3 linked regions of the Tamandua tetradactyla genome follow. The protein of the gene in region 1 purifies or fractionates together with the protein of each later gene. This does not show direct contact. Links are inferred from orthologs where the notes say so. Each region holds a gene or a part of one and is shown on either strand. Other genes may lie near its edges.

Region 1 (7,599 bases):
AACAGTGGCTGCATGCAGCAGAACCAAAAACGGATAACTGGTTTGTAACTTTCCCCCCTGTTAGGAGTAGTAGGCAGGCAGAGTCTATCTGTGATGGACAAACAATCTGATGCAGTCTCTGTAGAGTCCACTGAAAAAAATTATGTTAACATATATACAACATAGACATAAATTCCCTCTGTTGTGCCACCAACACCACCATCCCTTACCAAGCTTTTTGATCACCTCAAACAGAAACTCTGTAGCCATTAAGCAGTAATTCCCCAATCTCCACCCACCCCACCCCTCCTGTAGCCTGTTCTCTTATAGCCCACTTTTGTCCATTTGGAATAAGATCATTCCAACCGTGAAGCTCTTTTGCCAGGGCTTGATGTCCCCAAGCCTGTGGATGGTACGTTAATTTGACTTTTCCACCTTATCTCATTTCTCTCTGAAATGGTGACTATGATAATGTTTTGATCCTTTCTGCCTTAGCATTCATTCCTAATATCCATCAAACGTTTTTGTGTGTCATTCCTTCAAATAAATAATCAACATGCATTATTGATCATTAAAGAGCTCTGTATTCTTAACACCGACATCAAGGAAAACAAACCATTGTGAACCCGAGGAATTTACCACCTGAACAGCTGGCACACAGTAGTGCCCTGTAAATCTTGGTGGAATTGATGACAAAATCCAAAATCCCTCAAGAAAATGAATGCCTACTGCTGACAGTCCTGTAGCTGCCAGTAAGCCAGCTTTCAGGGTGTTGGCTTCAGGCCCCCGGGCTGTGTTTGTTCAGGTTATTGCTTTCTATAGGCCAACTGAGGCTTCTTTAGGTTCGTAACAGTATCCTCTAATAATTCAGAAAAATATAGTGGAAATGGACAAGTTCGGGAAAGGAAATGTGGAAGCTAAGTGCCATGACTGAAAAATAAGCATTCAAGCTTTTCACTTACTCATTAAATTGGACCTAAATTACTTATTTGGACAAATAAGAATCTAAACCAGAGATTGGGATGCAGTGAATGCAGAAGTTTCCATCTGGGAATTGATCAAAATGACAGATCCCTCAGCCTTGCTGCAGAGATGATGCAACAAGTCACCCTGAAAATCAGGCCCAGCAAAGGACATCACGTTTGATGCTCAAGTGAACTTTGGGAGAGTAAATTTCTGTTTCATTTTAATTGCCCTTGCATGACACCAAGTATTTCTTCCCAATTTGGCCACATGCACTAATACGTGATCATCATTGAGAAGAGCCTTCAAAGCCAACAGCAACCACAAAAAATACGGACAGAGAAAACTCTTTTGTCCTTAAACAGAATTAATGCAACTTAAATACTTCAGTCTCTTGTAGAGAGAGATAATGTTTACATTTTTCACTTAAAAAACAAAAACACCTCTTTTGTAACTTTTTTCTTTCATTATCTTACTATCATGTTTTTGTGTCTGCTTTCTTGATCTTTAAATCAAACCTGTATTCAGTTCAGTGGAGTTCATGTAGCCAAAATTACTAAGATTCTGTGGTTTAACTGGAAGGAAATATACCACAAAGTGACAATGGTTATCTCTGAATTGGAATTATAGGATATTTATACCTTTCTTCTTTATACTTTTGTGGAGTTTTCTGAATCAGCTATAATCAGCATGTGGAGTTTTCTGAATCAGCTATAATCAGCATGTGTTACTGCTATTAAGCAAAAAAAAAAAAAAAAGAAAGAAAGAAAAATAGGAATTACTTAAAAATTCCCTCACCTTGTACAGAAGTACAGGAATCTGGTGTATAGAGACGGGAAAGCAGGAAGTGGGGCTTTAGCCTCAGCACCACCGCTCTTTCATTGTGATCTATATCAATAATTCAAATAATTTAGCCTCTCTGTGCCTCGGTTTCCCTATCTATAAATGAAGGGGGACCACCAAGATGACCTCTAAGATTACTTTCAACCTTAACATTATGAGTCCATCAGAAAATAAAATTTAACTTGATACAATCCTGATGCAGGGTTACGGCATTCCTCCCAAATTTATCGGCCAGTCCTGCAATCTCACTTTGGAAGATCCGTCCTCAGCTCTCTGTGCAGAGATTCAAATTACGGTTGGACAAGAGGCTTATGGCCTGTGTGACAGCTAATGATTGGAAACAAGTTCACCAAGAAGGGCCTCAGAATATCAAAACATACCACAATAGGAGGCAGCTATAAAAAAGAATGAAACCTTTTAAGATATATTTTTATTTTTTTTGGAACTATGTTTCTGGAACATAGGTTCTTGAAGGTTCTCTGCGCCTGCTTCAAGTCAAGTTTTTCAAAAAGACCAAATGTCCTAGGACATTTAAAGAAAAAAATATTATTAGGAAAGACCGCCAAGCAGATTTCAAGGATCTGGGGAAAGTGCAGAGTCCCTCCTTCCAGGCAGGCCACAATGGCCACTGGCTTCCTCTGCAGAGAAGGATCCCCCAGGGCAGCTCTCCAGCAGGGGGGCTGAGCAGGGCTGCCCGAAGCAGGACAGGCTGCAGCTCCAGCCTGCCTGGGTTTGACCCCACTGTCTGGGTTACGAGGCCCCTAGTGACTGGTCAAACTCAATAGTGAGTATAAGAGCACAGAAGAGGAGGCCCCCACCCCATCCCCATTCCCATTCCAGCCAGCTGACCTCCGCCCACAGTCAAGATGTCCTAGTAAGTGGATCAAGAAGAAATAAAAGGGTTTGGACTACAGGGATGATAGGTGAGAATATAAAGGAAGGAATAGCGTCACTTATGCCTCTCCAAATCCTTTCAATTTCTGTAAATGCAGTGTGATTTTACAGGTCACTTTTTCAATTTAGGAATTGTCTATAAGAAAGAGGGGATTTAAAAAAACATAGCATTTTGGACAAGATATTTTTAACTCTGCTATCTTCCATTCTAAGTGAGCCCATCCCTCTAAAGGAAATGTCTTCCATATTCTTCCTAAAAAAGAAAAAGCAAAGCAAACAAACAAACAACTTGAAGAGAAAACTGTTTCTCCTACTCTCTGAGACACAGGGGCCTTTGTCTTCCTACCTGGACGTGCTGGCCCTGGAACTCAGCTGGGGAAACGTGGGCTGCGGGTTGCGGCGGCCTAAGCCAAGCCGGGTCTGGGCAGGACCGCGCCCTGCGGCGTTGGCCCGCTCTCTCCTTGTGCTCTGCTCCTGTGCACCTCAGCACCTCATTTCCATACAGAAAAGAACGTTCAAATAGCTGAATTTAATTGGGAGCCAGGAGTAAAGTAATAAGCTTCTTGCTAAATGCTCTCCTCTGACCTCTTCGCCCACCCAGAGAGAGGTTCCCACGGAGAGTAATAGGTCTAGGTGCATTTGGATCTGTTTGTGCGTGAAATTGAGCTCTCTCTGCGCGCCGAGCCCCCTTTCTCCTTTGCAGTTCTTCAGGTCAAGTTGGAGTGATCCGGGTTCGACCGAGTTGCAGTCTTTCCTCCGACACCAACGGGTGGGTTCTTGGGGCGGAGGGGGTGGGCTCTGCTCTGAGCGCGGATTAGTAGGCTCTGCCCGAGGCTCTTGGGGCGGACAGGTGGGCTCTACTCGGGGCTCTGGGCGGGGACAGGTGGGCTCTCCTTGAGGCTCTGGGGGCGGACAGGAGGGCTCTGCTCAGGGACAGGTGGGCTCTGCTCGGGGCTCTGGGCCGGGACGGATGGGCTCTGTTCGGGGCTCTGGGGGCGGACAGGTGGGCTCTACTCGGGGCTCTGGGAGGAGACAGGTGGGCTCTCCTTGAGACTCTGGGGGCAGGCAGGTGGGCTCTGCTCGGGGACAGGTGGGCTCTACTCGGTGTTCTGGGCGGCGACAGGTGGGCTCTGCTCGGGGCTCTGGGCGGGGACAGGTGGGCTCTGGTCAGGGCTCTGGGCGGGGACAGGTGGGCTCTCCTTGAGACTCTGGGGGCAGGCAGGTGGGCTCTGGGCGGGGACAGATGGGCTCTGCTCGGGGCTCTGGGCGGGGACAGGTGGGCTCTGCTCGGGGCCCTGGGCGGGGACAGGTGGGCTCTGCTCGGGGCTCTGGGCGCAGACCGTGCAGTCCCTGCGGGCCGAACGACTTGACAGATGAGCTGCGGTGGAGCTGGAGGGCCCGGCAGTGTGGCCGCCGCCGCCCCCGCCCCCGCGCCCCCCGCCAGGCTTCTCAAGTCGCAGCCGGCAGAGCGACGCCGCCGCCACGCTGGTTTGCCTCCCAGGAATCGGAAGACCGAGACGGATAGAGACGCACGGCAAGTCTCGAGAATTACCCACAAAATCGTAACAGCTCTCAAAAGCCAGAAGCCCAGAAGGGAGCGGGGGGCCGAGAAAAACACCCCGCGCCCCCGCCCGGGGGAGGTGGCCCGCCCGGGCCCCGCCCCGGCCCCGCCCCGGCCCTCGCCCAATGGCTGCCCGGGAGGCGGCGCCATGCGCCCATTGGCCGCGCGTGCTGTCAGTCGGGCCGGGCGCGCGCGCGCAGCGGGGCGGGGGCGCGGGCCCGACGCCGGGCCGCCGAGTCGCCGCATTCAACAGGCGGCAGCGGCGCGGCGGGAGCGCGGCGGAGCGGCAAGCGCCCACCTTCCTGCGCGGGCCGGGCCGCGGGCAGTGCACCGGCGCCTCGGCGGCCCCGGAGCCGCGGGCCAGGGTCTGCGTTAGGCTTCGGCCCGGCTCCTGCTCGCCGCCCCTCCTCGCTCGACCGCGGCCCGGGAGGGCGGGGGTCACCATGGCCGAAGCGCCGCCGGCGGTGGAGACCGACCCGGACTTCGAGCCGGTGCCCCGGCCGCGCTCGTGCACTTGGCCGCTGCCGCGGCCGGAGTTCGGCCAGTGCAGCTCGGCCACCTCGAGCCCCGCGCCGTCGGGCGCCGCCAACCCCGACGCCGCGTCCGGCCTGCCCGGGGCCGCGGCCAGCGCCGACTTCATGCGCGGCCTGAGCCTGTTGGAGGAGCGCGGGGACTTCCCGCGGGCGCCCGGCTCGGCGGCGGGCCCCGGGGGGCTGTGCGGGGACTTCCAGGGCGCGGAGGCGAGCTGCCTGCGCCCGGCGCCGCCGCCCCCGCCCGGGCCACTGCCGCCCCCGCCCGGGCCCCCAGCCGCTGCCGGGCCGCTCGCGGGGCAGCCGCGCAAAAGCAGCTCCTCCCGCCGCAACGCGTGGGGCAACCTGTCCTACGCCGACCTCATCACCAAGGCCATCGAGAGCTCGGCGGAAAAACGGCTCACGCTGTCTCAGATTTACGAGTGGATGGTCAAGAGCGTGCCCTACTTCAAGGACAAGGGCGACAGCAACAGCTCCGCGGGGTGGAAGGTGAGCGGCCCGGGCGCGCGGCTGAACCAGCCTGGGAGGAGCCGGCACGGGGGCAGGTCGGGCTGGGGGTGGGCGGCGGGCTTGGCCGGGCCGGGGGCGGCTCGCGGGGCCAGGGTAGGTGCGCGCGCGGGAGTTGGGGACGAGAGAGCAGGGGCTGGCCCGGGGGCAGGGGAGTGGAAAAAGTGCGCCGGGAAGCGGACGCGGGGAAGTGGTCCACTTCGCGGCGCGCCCAGGGCCCGCTCGGACTCCAGCCGCTGGCCTTTCCCTCCCGGCGTTCGGGGTGAGGGCGGCCTCCCCAGCCGCGGTTCGGGGCAGTCCCGCGGAGCAGTTTCCGCCGCGCCGGGCGGGGGTCCGGGCCAGGCGGGGTCGGTGTGGGGCCAGCGCGCGGTTTCCGGAGGCCGTGGGCATTCTGCTTTGTTTTGATTTCTCGGAGGGGCCTCTCCAAGCCCCAGGTAGCGCCTCCGCCACGTGCCGAGGGGCGGCCGCCGCCGGGGAGCGCGGCCGCGCGGGGCTAGCCGAAGTTCAAGTGTGACCCTCGGCGGGGGCGGGCGCTGGCGGCGCGAGGGCCCGGGCGCAGGAAACGAGCGGCTTTAAAGGGCCAGCGCGTCCGGCCGCGCGCGGCTAGGTGCCCGGGCAGGCGGGGCGCGGGGCCGGCCCTTCCCACCAGGGCATCGTTCCCGAAAGGGCCTGGCCCACGTCCGAGGGTTGTAATTAAGCACGGAGGGCCCCGCCGGGCGGCCAGGGTGCCCGGGGCCGGGGCCGCACTCCCTCGCCCCGGCAGGCCGCCGCTGTGGCAGCGAGCGCGGAGTCAGGATCCAGGGGCAGGGCCTGAGGGGCTTTGCGACCCGCGTCCGGGGTGGTGGAGGCTTGCGCCGCGGGAGTGCCCCCGGGGCCCTCTGGGCAGTTCCGAGCCGGGGGCTCCGGGGCGGATTTCCTGCGGGCCCGTGTGGATGGAGGCTGACGGTTTGTCGGCGTCCCAGGTGGAGGGCTTGATGTAAATAAGGCCGTCGGGCTGGGCCAGACCCCTCCTCCCTGGTGTCGGCCTCACTGGCCCGAGGACGCGCGTCTGCGGTGCGCTGCTCGCACCCAAGTTGTTTCAAAGACGCCGCCGTCCCTGTCGCTCCCGTGCGCCAGGGTCAGGGTCAGGCTGCTCGCAACGCACTGGGAAGGAGCCAGGACTTATTTTATTTTTTCCCAAGGTGTGGTTTAGAGTAAAGGTATCGCTAGTCCCAAACCCCATTGCTAAGCATTGCATGCCCTTTTACCAAGTGTTCCGATGGTAAATGCCTCCTTACCGTCGGCTCCTGTTCTGATAAATCACAAAATCGGGATCCTCTGTAAAAAAAAATCCAGCCTAACGTTTGAATTTAAGTACTTGAATTACTTGCTCACCTATTGATCCTACTTGAGCTGTTATAAAAATTTGCCAATTAAAAAACCTTTTTTCCCTGGTATTCACAGTACAGTGTGTGCTTCACCACCCACCTTGGAGGTGGATACAACCTCCTTTAGCTTGCTTGCTAGAGGGCCTTTCTTTAAAGATAGAGAAAGGCAGTGTTTTGCCTCTCTAGAGGTATTAGTTCTGGATAAATTTGGAATGTAACGTTTAAGATTTAGGTTTTTTTTTTAATCCTAAATCCGACATTTGAGGGCCATCCTGACCTCCCAACAGTTTTTATTTGTTCTTTACTGATCTTCTCATGTTGTTTTCAAATGCAATTCTAATTTTATCTTACCTTTTTTTTACTGGAGCTGGGAGCCACGTTGTGGAGCAAAGAATTCTCTCTCCAGCATGTGAAGCCCAGTGGCAGAGCCCAGAGGGAGGCTGGGGGCTTTGGGAGGTGGTGGCTGATCATTTTCAAATGAGTCAAGTTTTCAGGTGTAGCCAGAGTTGGTGCAAGTCAGATTTCTGCAAGTGATTTTCAGTTTGAGTAAAAGGGCATTTTTAAAAGAAAAAAATAACCTAAATTGTTCTAACTCTTAACTAGTCCACTGGGTTGGGTTTTCATATAAATGAGTTACTTGTTAAAACCAGGTTTCACTCTCAGATCTGAGCAACTCTGAGACTCATAAAAGGGAGAAATTTCTGTAAGAATTTTAGCTTTAAAGAAAAGAAAATCCAGTTCTAAAATGCAAGTCAACCAAAACTTTACTCTTTCAGTACTGAAGAGTGGCTCCTTTGGAACTAAATATTTCCTGTGCTTTACTGCTGGGAATTGACTGAATCTTTAATTAAGTCCCCTCTCTTGTGATCTGCTTTCTGGGCCCTGCCTGAGACGAAGATCGTTTGCATAGGACAGAGTTGTTGGAAAGGTGTTGAAGAGCTCGAGAACTTCTCTT
Region 2 (7,335 bases), on another chromosome or scaffold:
ATCTTGGTTCAAGAAGACCAACAAAGTTTGGGGTTTCTCTCTCAGCTGGAAAGCACATGGCGATGCCTGCTAACTTTCTCTCCAGGCTCCTCAACGGCTTCCCCAGGGCTCTGTCCGTTCTGTTGGCTCTGTCGGTTCTAGTGGCTCTAAAGCCTTTTCCAAAATGGTTCCCTCTTAAAAGGGTCCAGTAAGCAACCCCACCTTGAATGGGTAGAGATGCATCTCCATGGAGACCATCTAATCAAAGGTTACCACCTACAATTGGGTGGATCACATCTCCTTGGAAACAATCAAAAAGGTCCCACCCAGCAATATTGAATGAGGATTAAAAAGAGTTTGGCTTTTCTGGAGTACACAACAGATTCACACCGGCACAGCTTCTGATAAATAAAAATTCTTTAAAGGACTTCTCTGAAGACAACATGAAAAACAGTCATCTACAACACTGCATAAATCTTGAAAAACCTACAAAGCCACTTCATCCAATAGAGACAACTGTGAACCTTAAACACAGGTAATTTTGGCATTCAGAAAAATTTACCAGTCTGCAAATTTGAGGAATTGGTCATTTGGGTATTTGGCTTTCAGATAATCACTGGTTTCCTTCTCGGAAATGGGAATGCGTGGACTTCCCAGAGGTTGATTATTGATAGTCTTAACAAAGGGTGAAAAAGATGCTGGAGCTGTTCTGGCTGCTAGGCACTCTAAGTGCTATAAAGATACAATGCTGTTAAAATCTACTTTGTTGACATTTGTCATTCTACAATCTCGCAGTTCTCAAAACGTAGGTTGGCTTGGCGTAGGATTCTCACTCTGGGGAGTGTGTGCTCCCCGTAACTGAGCGGCAAGACAAGTGGTGAAGGTAGATTGGCCTGAATTGCAGTAATCTTGAATAAGTGTCACGAGACCTCCTTGCCATGCTGTGTCTGAGGACATTCTCTGCCTTTCTGTGGTTCCTGGTCCTGCAGCTTCCTTGATGCTCCCTGGTCTTAGTGCGCCAGCGGTCTGCTTACCAAAAGCCACCTGTCCTGGGAAGCTTATGCTCTGAGCCCCACCTTAACTCCTTGTTAACAAGGAAGACAAATTTGTGACCTCAGCTATCATCAACTCTGGTCCCCACATCTATTTTTCATGCCCAGACACCATCTGTTACTTTTAAAAAATACTTTTTAGGCACTTCTTAGCCCAGGCCTCGATCTGGGCATTAAGAAACACAGGAGAATAAGACAGAAATGGTTCTAACCCTATGGAGCTACTTCAGGGTTGCAAATAACAGAAGCCAACTTTATGAATGCTTACTTGTGCATTTTATTGTTTTAGTTTGCTAAAGCTGATGAAATGCAATATACCAGAAATGGGTTGGCTTTTACAATGGGGATTTATTAATGTATAAATGTACACTTCTGAGACTGTGAAAATGCCCTAATCAGGGTACCATCAGGAAGATAACTTCTTCCTGAAGAAAAGGCTGCTGGCAACCTGGGTTCTCACATGGGAAGGCGCATGGTGATGTCTGCTGGTCTCTCCCTTCTCTCCAGGTTTTCACTGCTTCCAGCTTCTGGCTTCAGTGATTTCCTCTCCATTTCTGTAATTTCTCTCTGTTTTCCTGTGCATCCTCTTAAGATTCTCTGACTCTTTCCTCTTAGCTTTTTTGAGTCTTTTTTTCTGTGTCGTCTCTGTGTCTTTTATCTTTTTATAAAGGATTCCAGTAAGAGGATCAAGACCCACCTTGAATGAGGTAGTATCACATCTCAATTGAAATAACATAATCTAAAGGTCCCACCTACAATAGGTCTATACCCACAACAATGGATTAAAAGAACATGATCTTTTCTGAGGTACACACAGCTTCTAAGCCATCACATTTATGGACTCGAATGAAGCTCTGAATGACCTAGCCTTGGGCAGGGCTTGAGCCAAGTCAACCACAGAAACCTCAAAAGTAAGAATTTGAGAACATTCCCTCTGTAACGATGCCATTGACCCAAAGGAACTATTGCTATTCTCTATGAGCATTAGTTTAAAAGTCCAAAACTCAGAGTAAAGAACTGTCATCTCCACCTCTGCTCTAATCAACTGTGTGTGTGTGTGGAGGGGGAGCACATGAGAAGGAGGAATCATTACGAGCTGGGCAGAAACTCCAAAAGATGATTATCATAAGAATCTCTACATCCAGCAGGGAAGACTAGCTTATAAAGAACTAACTTCAACCAAGGCTCATACAGGCTTAATAGAGTTAAGTACTCTTGGAGCCTACTTTGATGGGTGTCAGGCATGCCTTCACAGAGGACGTGACATCCAACCGGGTTTTAAAAAAAGCTAAGATGGGCGGTACAATGGTGGCTCAGTGGCAGAATTCTCACCTGCCATGCTGGAGACCTGGGTTTGAGTCCCGTTGCCTGCCCATGCAAAGAAAAAAAAAAAAAAAAAAAAGTCAAAAACAGACAATGAAACGCACCATTTAAAATGTAGAATTCAACAAGTTTAGACAAATATGTACACCCATTTCACTCCCACCCCAATCAAGATACATAAAACATTTCTGTTACCTCAGAAAGTTCCTCATGCCCTTTTGCAGACAATCCCTACCCCTACTGCCCTGGCAATGACTCGATTTGATCAGTATCACTATAGATGAGTTTTGCTGATTTTAGAATCTCATATATTCTCATATGACTTGTCTGTGATATTCTTCTACATTTCAACTGGGTTTTGAAGATTCAGAAAGGGTTCTACAAACACAGGAAGTGTAAGGGCAAATACAGCATGGAGATAAAAAGGAGCAGAGTGTGTTCAGGAAACCAGAATTAGTTTAGTGACTCAAGCATGCAGTCTGAGGGTCAGTGGCAGGAGAGGAGACTGACACAGTGGAAAGAGTTGAAAATGTTAAATTTTACTTGTAAAATCCTCCTGGAAAACAGCAATGGTTAAGAACCTCCCCACTGGCACCCTTTTGTGTTTGGGAAATGGCTTTCTGCAAAGAAACACTCTTCTCCATATGACTTAGATAAAATTCATAGATGCCTCCCTTGTTTATCTATGACAGGGCCAGACACAGACCCTCCAAGTTCCCATTCTTTGTCTTATAAATGATTAGCCAAACTTCCTGTCCCTACTGATCAATGGGAACAAAAGGCCTGTTAATCGAACTTTGGATAAGCTTCTTTTCCTTCCCAGTTCTCAAGCTTTGTTTGACTTACCCTCAGCCTGAACCAGCATACAACCTCTCCTGAGAATATGCTGGCCTCATGGTAAAACGTCTTCTGATCTAGTATTGGGTCAAGCCACCCTTTCTTCCTACTTAGCCACACCAGATTCTTTATAGCCTTGTTTACTTCTCCCTATAAAAGAAAAAACCCTTGAGATGCCTACAGATCTCATGCTCACAGCATTTTCCTTATTGCAGTACTGCCCCTCTTCCTATTGCAGCATTCCCAACACGTGCAACAATCCTTGGAATAAAGTCTCTCCTTACTAAATCTGGATTTATTTTTTCATTTCACCAGAGACAAACAGGCTTCCGTTAGAATCCTCTCCCTTTTTTTTTTTTTTTTTAACTCTTTGACCTTCAGCAAACCACTTTTCCCAGGCTCTGTTCTCTCACATGTAATATGGGAATAATATGACATCATCCGGGGCCAGACCTCTGTGAAGATTAGAAATGTGAAACAGAGGTAATCCAAAAAGAAAAACAATAATAATAAAAAAAAGAGTCGTCATTACTCTTATAAGTCTATAGAGCTGCATGAGGGTTACATTGTGAGCCAGCATTACATGCCAGATTAAGAAATTTATCATATTCACTATTGTATTTTCAACACTTGTCCAATGCTTGGCACTGTACAATGTGCTAAATAAATTTAGAATGAATAACTTAATCCCATTGACATCGTAAGCTACGAAAAGCATGAGTGTTGAGAAGGAGGAGGTTGGTCACTGTCAGTTTTCACTGGCCTTTGCTTATTAAAATTTTCCTCTGCTATCTCTCCACACCTGCCTTCCTAATGATCCGCGTGTTATGTCGGAAGTTCCCTCTCTTGAAAAATGGCAATGATGATTCTTATTCTCTTAAATAAAAAGAGGACGTGGAGCACTTTTTAAAAAGCATGACAGACCATATACATATTTCCACATCTGAAAAGGGAGGGGTCCTGATCGTCCCTCCCCAGGGTCCTCGCCCACTCCCCCCGCCCTATATTCTCCAGAACCCAAGCCCCTTCCACTCAGCTGGACGGTAAGGTCGCATTTCCTCCAGGCTCGCCGGCGCCTGTTTGTGTGCATGCGCACTACTCCTCCTGGTAAGACAGAGGCGGGACTATATTGCGTCATCGGGACGCGCGCTGCGGCGACGCTGCGGTTGCCGGAAGTTGAGTGGCGGTAAGTGAGCGGTTGCTGCCGATGGAGTGGTGGGGGTCCTTCGGGGTCGTGCCGGAGGCCGGTAGAGAAGAGGGGAGCTCGACCGTGGGGGCGGGAGCGCGTCTCAGGCTACTCCTCTCCCGAACTGAGGGGGCCTCCGGGAAGTCACTCCGACTGTCTTCCCTCTTTTTCCAGCTACGTCCCCTCATGCTCTTACAGCCTCGAGACTTCTGATTTGGAAATTCCTGCTGATTGTCTAAGGCACTCCTCCTGTCCTCTGCAGGGAGTGCTCAGAATTTCTGATTTGGGAACAATAGCTAGGAGGACACCTGGGTTTTCGTTGTCTTTGCCTGGATTTGTTGTGTGGCTCTGGCGCGTCCCGCCCGTTTCTGAGATACTCTGATCTGTCAAGTGGGAATACAATACATCATTTGTGCAATGAGGAAGTTAAATTAAGAGAACTCTAGGCGCATTTTTTCTGGTTTGGTGCAGGGTTTGCAAACTCTGATGTTTAACCGGAATCAGGTAAGGTAAATGCAGGCGTAAGAAAATTCCACTGACAGAAGTGTAATCGAACTTTAACACTGTTACTGAAACCAGGCATTTTTGTGACACGTTGGGACTTCTGAGTCCTACCTTCCTTATCCCATAGTATACTTAGATTTCTTATGTGACATCCCTGCCCACGGATTAATTTTCTTCAGTGACAGAAAACTCACTACTTTTGGTTCTCCTGTTTCTTCTTCCCCCAGCTCTCATTAAAAGTCATATATTGAACTGTATGCTATTACTTGGTAATCATCTCATCCCTCCTTCAGTCTCTTTGCCCTTTCAGTTAACTGCCCCTTCCACTTAATTGCCCTGCACTTCTGTCTTCCTCTTCCCACCTTTTCTCCTCTAGGCTAAGTACATTTTATTTATTTACCAGAGTAAGCTCTGCAAGGACAGAAATCTGGGTTTAGTTATTGCTCTATCTCCAGCATTTAGAATAGTGCCTAGCATATTATAGAGGCTCAACAAATAGTTGCTTATGAATACATAAAACAGACATTTGAGAGTTATCAAGAAGGTTTCCCTGAGTAGATTTATATTTGAGCTCGTGAAAAGGCTAGATTTGTGCAGGCTCACATTGCCTGATTGTTTCCCCCCCAACTTTGTTCTTGCAGGTCATCTCACCTACAGCCTGCTGCTCTTGCTGCCTTCCCCTCTGCTTTTCTTGGTCAAGTCCTCCCTGCCACTCATATACATGATTTCGAAACCGTTTTGGGGAGCTGAGTACTGGGCTCTTTATTTGTCAACCTCAAGATCCCTTTTCTGTTTTCAGCCGGTTTCTCCTGATAGAAAATAAGCAAAAATACATGTTGAGCTTCTGCTGTGTACCTGACACTATACCACAGTCTGAAAGTACAAAAATGAGTAAGATATACATCCCTGTCCTCAGGGAGTTTACTTTTTTTTTTTTTCCAACTCAAAGAGATATATTATAGCAATACAGTATGAAGCTATTGTGGAGCTTTGCTAGAGGAAAATTGAGAAGTGCTTGTAAGTCAGTCTGAGACATCAGAGAAGGCTTCTGTGAGGATATGATTTATCCAAGTCCTAAAAAATGAGTAGCAATTAGCCAGTTGAAAAGAGGTGGGATGATATTGTAAATATTGGCAGTGGCATGAGCAAAGGGCTGTAGGTGAGAGTACCTGACTTGCAAGTAGAGTTCTGGAATAAGAGGTAACTGTGAAAAGGTAAATGGGAGCCAGATTACAAGGGACTTGTGAGCAATAGCATATAATGGTCAAGGGCACAGGCTTTGGAATTTAACATACCTGGGTTACACGTAGGGCCATCACCACTAAACTAGTTTTCTCACCTTGGGAAAATCACTTTCTATTTAAGCATCAGTTTCCTCCTCTATAAAAAGGGGAGATGTACTACCTGCTGTGCTGGTTTGAAACTGTTATTTACTCCAGCCATGTTCCTTTTCTTAATCCAATCTTGTGGGCACAGGCCTATTTTTAGCATGGGACCTTGTGATTAGATTGTTTCCATGGAGATATAACCCACCCAGTTGTGGGTGGGACCTTTTGATTAGGTGGTTTCCATGGAGATGCGTCTCCACCCATTCAAGGTGGGTCTTAATCCACTTACTGGAGTCCTTTAAGAGGAAACAATTTAGGAAAAAGCTCAGAGCTTGCAGACAGAGCTGTTTGGAGATACAGAAATAAAAAGACCCCCAGGGAAGTCATTTGAAATTAGAAACCAGGGAAGAAAGCCAGCAGATGTTGCCATGTGCCTTCCCACATGACAGAGAAACCCCAAATGCCATTGGCCTTTTTTTCAGTCAGGTATCTTTTTATGGATGCCTTAGTTTGGACATTTTTATGGCCTTGGAACTGTAAACTTGTAACTTAATAAATCCCCTTTTTAAAAGCCAACCAGTTTCTTGTGTATTTTGCATTTTGGCAGCTTTAGCAAACTAAAACACCTACTTTGCAGGGTTGCTGTAAGAATTGAATGAAATGATACATGTTGCCCGCTTGGTACTGGTAGATAGTAAACACTTGGTAAACAGTTAGAATGACATGCTAAGAACTTCGGTCTTAATTTTTAAAGCTATGAGACTAGGGGTATGTGGAGTGAGGCACTGAAGAATTTTGAACAAAGATGTCTTTTAAAGTACCCAAATGTGGTGATGACCTTTAATGGAGCAAGAAGGGCAGAGTGACCAATTAGAGCACTGTCATGGCAATCCAGATGACAGAAGACAGGCCTGAGAAGACAGTGGCTGTAGGGATGGAGATGGGTGGGTGAATTTGAGAGTTATTTCAGGATTCAATGACAAAAAAGCTATGGTCCTTGTCTTTAAGAAACTAATAAGTTGAGGGTAAGACAAGCAAGGAATTACAGTAAAGCAATTTGGGGGTAAAACAATTACACTACAGTGTGGTAACTTACGGGAGGAGGGAGGAAGGACACCTAAACCAG
Region 3 (7,747 bases), on another chromosome or scaffold:
TACAGCATCTGAAGTTAAAATACATTGGATAAGATTGACAATGGATTAGACTTTACAGGAAAAAGAAGACAAACAACAGAAATGATCTAGAATGAAATACAGAGAAAAATAATCCAAAAAAATAAAAAGAGGATCAATGAGCTAAGGGACAATTTCAAGTGGCTAGTTGTAACTGAAGTCCCTACAGTAGGAAGAGACAGAAAAAAAAATCTGAAGAAATAATGGCCAAAAAATAGTTCAAATTTCATGAAAACCAAGAATCCACAGATCCAAGATGTTCAGTGGACTCCAAGCACAAGAAACATGAAGAAAACTACATCAAGGTGTGTTAAAATCACATTTTTTTAAACCAGTGATAAAGACAAAATCTCAAAGGCAGCCAGAAGAAAAAAATGGCATCTTAAGTACAGAAGAAGATATGGAGGACAGAAGTTTACGTAGGAAATAATGCAAGAGAGAAGACAGTGCAGCAATCTCTTTAAACTACTGAAAGAAAAAGACTGTTAACCTGGAATTCTTTATCCAGTGAAACTCTTTCAAAATCAAGGGCAAGGATGCACGGTGGTTCAGTGACAGAATTCTCGCCCAACATATGGGAGACCCAGGTTTGATTCCCAGTTCATGCACCACCCCTCCCCCCCAAAAAAAATTGTGAAGAAAATTCCCTATGATATATGTAGGGAGACTGGAGACACATTAAAAAAAATCAAGGGCAAAATAAAGACTTCTCAGACACACAAAAAATGGGGAGAAAAAAATCCCCAGCAGACCCATAATACAAGAAATGGTTAAAGGAAAATGATATCAAATGGAAATATGGATCTACACAAAGGAAAGACAAGAGCACTCAAAACAGGAACTACCTGGGTAAGTGTATAAGTTTCACGAAAACTGTTCTCATACCCAACTGCAAATACTGCAGTAGCTCAATCAATTCAACTCTGACTCTGCCCAGAGTCAGGCCAGGCTCCACAGGGTCAGTGCCACCCTCCGGATGGCCCTTCAGGAACCAGTTGCAGGTTCCAGGGCCCAGGCCACCCACACTCCTGACCAACTGGCTACAAATCTGGAGGTTCCCACCATGACTTCAGGTTTCATAATTCACTAGAATGACCCACCTAATTTACTAAAAAGTGCTATATTCACAACTGTAGATTTATAATTGTAAAAGGATACAAATAAGAAGAAGCCAAAAGAAGAGGTGTACAGAGGGAGGTCTGGGAGGGTCTCAAATGAAGGCTTCCGTGTCCTCTCCATACAGAGGCAGAACACATAGCCCTGCCGGCACAGTGAGGTCTTAAAATCTCGGAAGCTCTTCATGGCTTTGAGTGTTTTGAATTCATATGGGGTCTCATTATATAGAGATGATTGATAGAATCAATGTCCATGTGGTTGAACTCAACCTGCAGCCCTCCTCGGTTCCCAGAGGGCAGGGAAGTAGGCTGATATGGGCTGATACGATGTGGCTCAAAGCCCTGATCCCCCACTCACATGGCTGGCTTTCTGGTGTCAGTCCCTCTACCTGAGACTGCAGGTGTGGCTGGCCCCACCCTGGCATCTCATTAGCACATGGACTATCTATCAGGTATGGTCCTGGGCCCATCATCAATAGTAAAAGGTGTTCCTATCACAGGAAATTCCAAACAGTCACAGGGTACCTCCTCAGGAATTTGAGACAAACGCCAGCCAAGTTTTTATTACGCTACAATAAGAATATAAGACATTCTGTTTGTATGCATAAGTACGTGTGCATAAATAAAATGTATGACAACAAACATATAATTGTCAGGAGAGAGAAAATGGAAATATACTCCTGAAAGTTGCCTTTACTATGCATGAAATGGCATAATATCACTCAAAGGTAAATCATAAATTAGGTTTGAATACTATAAACCCTAAGGCTGGGTCGGCAAACTTTTTTTTCCCTTTTTTGACATGGGCAGGCACAGGGAATCAAACCTGGGTCTCCGGCATGGCAGGCGAGAACTCTGCCTGCTAAGCCACCGTGGCCTGCCCAGCAAACTTTCTGTAACGGTCCAGATAGCAAATATTTGAGGCTCTCTGAACCACATGGTCTCTATCCTGACTATTCAACTCTGCTGTTGTGACACAAAGGCAGCTATAAATAAAATGTAAATCAGTGAGCATGGCTATGTTCCAATAAAACTTTATTGATAGACACTGAAATTTGAATTTCATATCATTTTCACTCGTCACAAAATATCTGAATATTTTTTAGCCATTTAAAAATGTGAAAAACAGGCAGGCCATGCTGGTGCAGTGGCAGAGTTCTTGCCTGCCATGCTGAAACCCAGGTCCGATTCCCGGTGCTTGCCCATGCCAAAAAAACAAAACAGAAAACAACAACAAAAAATGTAAAAACCATTCTTAGCTTACAGCCATACAGGAGGCTGGCTGGATTTTGCTTACGGGTCATAGTATGGCATCCCCTGCCTTAAAGCAACCACTAAAATAACAACAACAACAACAAAAAGTTATAGCTAAAAAGCCAACAAAGGAAATAAAGTTGAGTTACAAAATACTCAGGTATTCCAGAAGAAAGCAGAAAAAAGAGGGAACAGGAAACATAGAACCGGTGGGACGAAACAGAAAGATGATCAATTTGAACATAACCATATCAACAGTTTACATTAAATTTAAAGTGTTTAAACACCTTAATTAAAAGGCAGAATTGTCAGATTGAATAAAAAAGCAAAACCCAACTATATGTTGCCTACAAGAAATGCCCTTTAAATATAAAGACACAAATAAGTTAAAAATAAAATGATGAAAAAGATATTCCATGCTACACTAGTCAAAAGAAAGTTGAAATAAATATTTAATATCAAAGTAGATTTCAAAGCAGAGACTATTACAAGGCTAAAGAAGGTAATTTTATAATGGTAAAGGGGTCAATTAGACAAGAAGACTTAACAATCTAAATCTTTGTTCCCCTAATAACAGAACTTCAAAATACACAAAGCAAAAACTGAGAAAACTAAAAGAAGAAATAGACAAAGGCCCAATTATACTTGGGGATTCAATATTCCTCTCTCTATAACTGGTAGACTGAGTGGACAGAAAACTAGCAAGGATTAGTCGACTTCAACAACCCTATAAACCAATTTGGCCTAACTGACATTTAGAGAACACTTCACCCAGTAACAACACAATGTACACATTCTTCTCAAGTGCATACACAACAATTACCAAGCTAGACCATATTCTGGGCCATTCTGAGTCTCAACAAATTTTAAAGGATTTAATTCATGCTAAATATATTCTCTGCCTACATGGAATTAAAAAAACTCAAGAGAAAGATAGCTGGAAAATCTCCCAAATGTTTGGAAACGAAATGACATACTTTTAAATAATCCATGGGTGAAAGAGGATATCAAGAGAAACTAGAAAGAATATTGAATAAAAATGAGAAAGATAGCTGGAAAATCTCCCAAATGTTTGGAAACGAAATGGCATACTTTTAAATAATCCATGGGTGAAAGAGGATATCAAGAGAAACTAGAAAGAATATTGAATAAAAATGAGAACACAACATATCAGAATTTGTGAGATCTTGCTAAAGCAATACATAGGAGGAAATATATAGTGTTATATGCCCATAATAGCAAAGAAGAAAAGTCTCAAATCAATGGCCTCAGCTTATATTTTAAGAAACTAGAAAAAGAGCTGATTAAATCCAAAGTAAGCCAATAGAATAATAATAATGAGAACAGAAATCAACAAAAGAGCATTAAAACAATAGAGAAAATTAATGAAACCAAGAGCTGATTCTTTGATAAGATCAATATTTATGAAGTGCCCACCAAGTATCAGGCATTGTTTGGGTCACTGGGGAAGCAATAAATGTAACAGACAAAAATCCCTAGGTACACTCCCTTGTGGTTCCTTCTGCTGGAATGCTCTTCTTCCCTGCTATTTGTTTCATTTCTCTCTCTCTCTCTCTCTCTCTTTCTTTTTCTCTCTCTGCCTCTTACTTCCTGTCTTTCTTTCTCTCCTTTCTGTCTTTCCTTCTGTCCATTTGTCTACCCCTACTAGAATGTATGTTCCACAAGGTCATATATCTGTCTATTGTCTTCATTGTTTTAACTCCAGCGCCTAAAACAAACAGTTCAATGAATAATTGTTGAAGGGATGAATCCGTGTTCTCAGGGACCCTATATTCTCTCTTTAAATGTAAGATTTGAAATTAGTGCTCAGAAGGCAGGATCTTAGAAACAGAGGCCAAATATTACTTTCAGAAATCAAAGTATAAGGCTCATAAGTCACCAGCTAAGGATCAAAGATCATCTTGGAGGTTGGAGATCAGGAGGAGCTGGAGTCAGAGTTCTAACAAACGTCTCAGGACTGGAGTCAAAACGTTCAAATCCGGTTTTCAGATCAATGGGAAGGGATGTGGATTCCAGGAGCTGAGAATCAGATTCAAGAAAGGAGAGTCAGAAATGTGTTAGAATCAAAGTTGAGTAAGAGATTGATGTTATCAAAGGTTAGGACTTGGGGGTTAGAGGTCAGGAAGTCAAGGCTTAGAGGTCAGATTTAGTGGTAAGAGGTTAGGGAGCCGGGATCAGACACCATAGGAGAATCAGGTTAAACTGATCTTTGGGCTAGACTTGGGAGTCTAAGATTCACTCACGTGTCCCCATCTTCAGTGACGTAGCCGAAGACGAGGGGAGCCCACGACAGCCCCGGGCCCAACTCCGGACCCAACCCTGGTCCTCCGGGGGCTGCTGCGTCCGGGCCCAGTGAGCCCAGACCACTGTCACACCACTCATCCGCGTCTGCAGCTTTCCCCAGGCACGCGACCCCGGCCATAGCCCCGCAGCCTCCGGAGTCCCCCGCGGCACCCAGCCAGGCTACTGCTGGGCTCTGCCTGGATCCTAACCCTTCCGCCCTGCGGGGAATTCCCCAACACTCCCCCTACTTTGCCCAATCAGAGTGGGTCAAAGCTCTCTCTCCCCGCCCCATTCCGCTCCAAGACCAATCAGAACGTCCTATTGTACTACAGCTTTCGACCCATTCCCACATTTTCCGGGCGCCCTTTACCAACATGGCTGCCGACGCCAGGCCCTCTGGAACTTGTAGTCCGGCCCTCTCATCTCCCTTATCCGAAGAGAAACGCTCGCGGCGTTGTGCTAATCACTCGTATGCGGTGGTCGTGGCTTCTGGGAGTTGTAGTCCTTTGCCTCCTCACTGCCCCTCCCGTTTCCGGTGCCGTCACGGGGCAGAGAGGTCGGTGACAGCCCCGAGGGCCCCGGTCCCGCGCCCATGGCCGAGCCGGACCGTGAGTCAGGGGCCCGGGTGGGAGGATCGGGCCGCGTCGGGGCCTGACAGCAGGCTGCAGGCCCCGGGGCCCGAGAGCAGGCGCGGTGGGGCAGGAGATCGGGCAGCGTGGGGGCAGTGGGATTTGAGGGGCCGTTGCTAAGTGATCCGTGGTGTTTGATTAATGAGTGTCTGGGTCGCGAGAGTTTTAAGGGCCCATTTGCCTAGTGCCCCAAATTGCTAATAATCGCATGTTTCTCGCACTTCGGTTGCTAAAGACCCTCGTTACTAAGGACGTGGGTTGCCGCCGTCCTGGTTGCTAAGGGTACCTGGTTGTAGGATGCCAGGGGATCCCCTGGTGTCCCCTTCTATCTCTTGCCTCAAGTACCTGTGCCTCTCCTTAACTTGCCACCAACCACCCATCCCTATCCCGGCACCTCCTCTTCCAAACCCGGCTCCCAGCAGGGTATCCCTTCCTATCTCCTCTCCTCCTTTCTAAACTTCCCTCTGCCCCTACACACACTATTATGCTTTCCTAACTACTCCTGAGACTTCCTCCAAACCCTTTATCCCTTCCTTTCTCCTCTCTCTCCTCCAAACCCTTCCCCTCTCCAGCTTCTCCTTAAGATCTGCTTTTCCCTTCCCTACCTCTATTCGGTTTTTACCACTCCCCTCACTAGTATAATTAGGTCTTCCTAGCCCCCACTCCCACTTTGAACCCTTTCATTCCACCTTAACCATTCCCTCCACTGTAACCACGTCTGCTCCCCCTCCTCCCCCAGCCTCTGACCCTCTGGAGACCCAGACAGGGAAGGTGCAGGAGGCTCAGGTGAGATGGGGGGAAAGGGTGGACTGGAGGGAAGGAGAGAGATGGATTTGTTCCCACTATCCCACACTAGGCTCTCAGCTCACTGCCCCAATCCCTCGTCCCACCCCAAGGTGCAGCGTCCTGGGGGATGGTAGATTGTGGGGCCTGCCAAAGAAGGGTATACTGCCTCAGTCCCAGGCCTGCCCTTCCAAGCTTACCTCTTTTCTGTCCCCTCCCCACCAATCCTTCTGAACCTCATTCGTGCTGGGCCCAGAAGAGACAAGCATGGGATTTGGTCCCTGATAGAAACCAACCCTCCAGGGTGACTGTGGAGGTAGCTCAGGGTGCTGTGGGGGCCAGAATATACTTTGTGGGGTCACAGAAGAAACCACCCAGGCCCCTCCTTGGAGAAATCCACAGACGGATCTAGGTAAGACTGAGTTATCGACACAATATAATAAGTGAGGAGTGACTTGGAATTTTCCTGGACAAGATGAGAAATGGTGTTCCAGGCAGAGGGAAAGCCTGGAGGCAGAAAAGTATTGGGTAGCTTGATGGCTGGGAATGGTAAAAAAAAAAAAAAAATTTTTTTTATTGGGTACTTACTCTGTCGCAGATATTCTGCTTAGTGTTTTGGGTACATCGTCTTATTTAATCTTCCCAACATCCCTGTGGGGGGAAGGCCTGTCATTGCCATTTTGAGGGAGAGTTGTTAAAGCGACTTGTCCCCTATCCCTTGGCTAGAGGAATAGGGACGCCAAACCTAAGACACCCGGCCCCCTGCCTCATAGGTGCTAAGCAGGAGGTGGTCAGGGCAGCCTTCCAGAAGCTTATGGGCGTCAGCCAGCACCTCCACCTCCTCTGCAGGCAGGGCTGCCCCACGAGCTGGACAGGGCCTGCCATCCTCCCACAGAGCCTCATTGTCTACAGCCTGAAGGAGCCCAGCCTGCTACCAATGCTTTTCAGATGTAGGTCGGTGCAGAGGCCGTGTCACAGTTCCTCACGAAGGCCCAACAGAGGGATAGTGAGGGTAGAAGAGCTTCCTGTCAAGCCAGGGTTTCTCCATCGCCTAGCTCCAGAGTGTGGCTACTGTCACTTGTGGCTCAGAGAAAAAGGTTTACTATTAAGAAGGGACCCTCAGTGCCAGAGAGAGAGACACAAGGATGTAAATTGCAGTGTTGTCTAGAATAGGGCAAAACTGGACATGGCCCAAAGGGCTGTCAGTGGATGGGTTAAGTGAAGGCTGGCACACCCACACAATGCAATCCTATATGGCTGCTTAACCCAACGAGGTGGGTCTGCAGGAGTTAATTCTGTGAAAAACTGCAGAGTGCAGCAGCCTGCCTGGGTGGGACCCATTTCTGTGAAGATAATTAGGTTTTTGTTTTTTTGTTTTGTTTTTAACCACCAATACATTCATTTGAGGGGGAAAGGGGTCAAGTCTTATGAATTTTTTTAACGGGGTAAGACTAGAGACACTGATCGGCAGAACTTCTGGATATTCACAACTGCCCAGGTAACCAGTCCTGCACAAGTAGGGTCGTCATTGAACAGGTGGGCATTAGTTGAGGGGGACATGTTCTGAGCAATTAGGAGATTTCTCATTCCAAAGAAGGTGCTATCCTCATATCAGAAAAGTAGAGATAATGAGGTTTTATTTAC

What was found.
Region 2: the proteins of FOXO1 (region 1) and ATG7 purify together in Homo sapiens (affinity purification with western blotting; 4 studies listed by BioGRID). This does not show direct contact. The link is inferred for Tamandua tetradactyla from reciprocal best matches to the Homo sapiens genes FOXO1 and ATG7.
Region 3: the proteins of FOXO1 (region 1) and SIRT2 purify together in Homo sapiens (affinity purification with western blotting; 3 studies listed by BioGRID). This does not show direct contact. The link is inferred for Tamandua tetradactyla from reciprocal best matches to the Homo sapiens genes FOXO1 and SIRT2.

The regions. Positions count from the first base shown.
Region 1 is NC_135330.1:99,398,022-99,405,620, forward strand, and holds the start of FOXO1 (forkhead box protein O1), read left to right. Parts: upstream 1-4,540; 5' UTR 4,541-4,683; coding exon 4,684-5,259; intron 5,260-7,599. UniProt on the Homo sapiens protein: Transcription factor that is the main target of insulin signaling and regulates metabolic homeostasis in response to oxidative stress.
Region 2 is NC_135335.1:37,669,228-37,676,562, reverse strand, and holds the start of ATG7 (ubiquitin-like modifier-activating enzyme ATG7), read left to right. Parts: upstream 1-4,285; 5' UTR 4,286-4,377; intron 4,378-4,387; exon of another isoform or gene 4,388-4,881; intron 4,882-5,280; exon of another isoform or gene 5,281-5,772; intron 5,773-7,335. UniProt on the Homo sapiens protein: E1-like activating enzyme involved in the 2 ubiquitin-like systems required for cytoplasm to vacuole transport (Cvt) and autophagy.
Region 3 is NC_135342.1:25,106,115-25,113,861, forward strand, and holds the start of SIRT2 (NAD-dependent protein deacetylase sirtuin-2), read left to right. Parts: upstream 1-4,830; 5' UTR 4,831-5,061; coding exon of another isoform or gene 5,062-5,065; coding exon 5,066-5,299; intron 5,300-6,059; coding exon of another isoform or gene 6,060-6,106; intron 6,107-6,359; exon of another isoform or gene 6,360-6,515; intron 6,516-7,747. Other genes in the region: NFKBIB (NF-kappa-B inhibitor beta), read right to left, coding at 4,652-4,830. UniProt on the Homo sapiens protein: NAD-dependent protein deacetylase, which deacetylates internal lysines on histone and alpha-tubulin as well as many other proteins such as key transcription factors.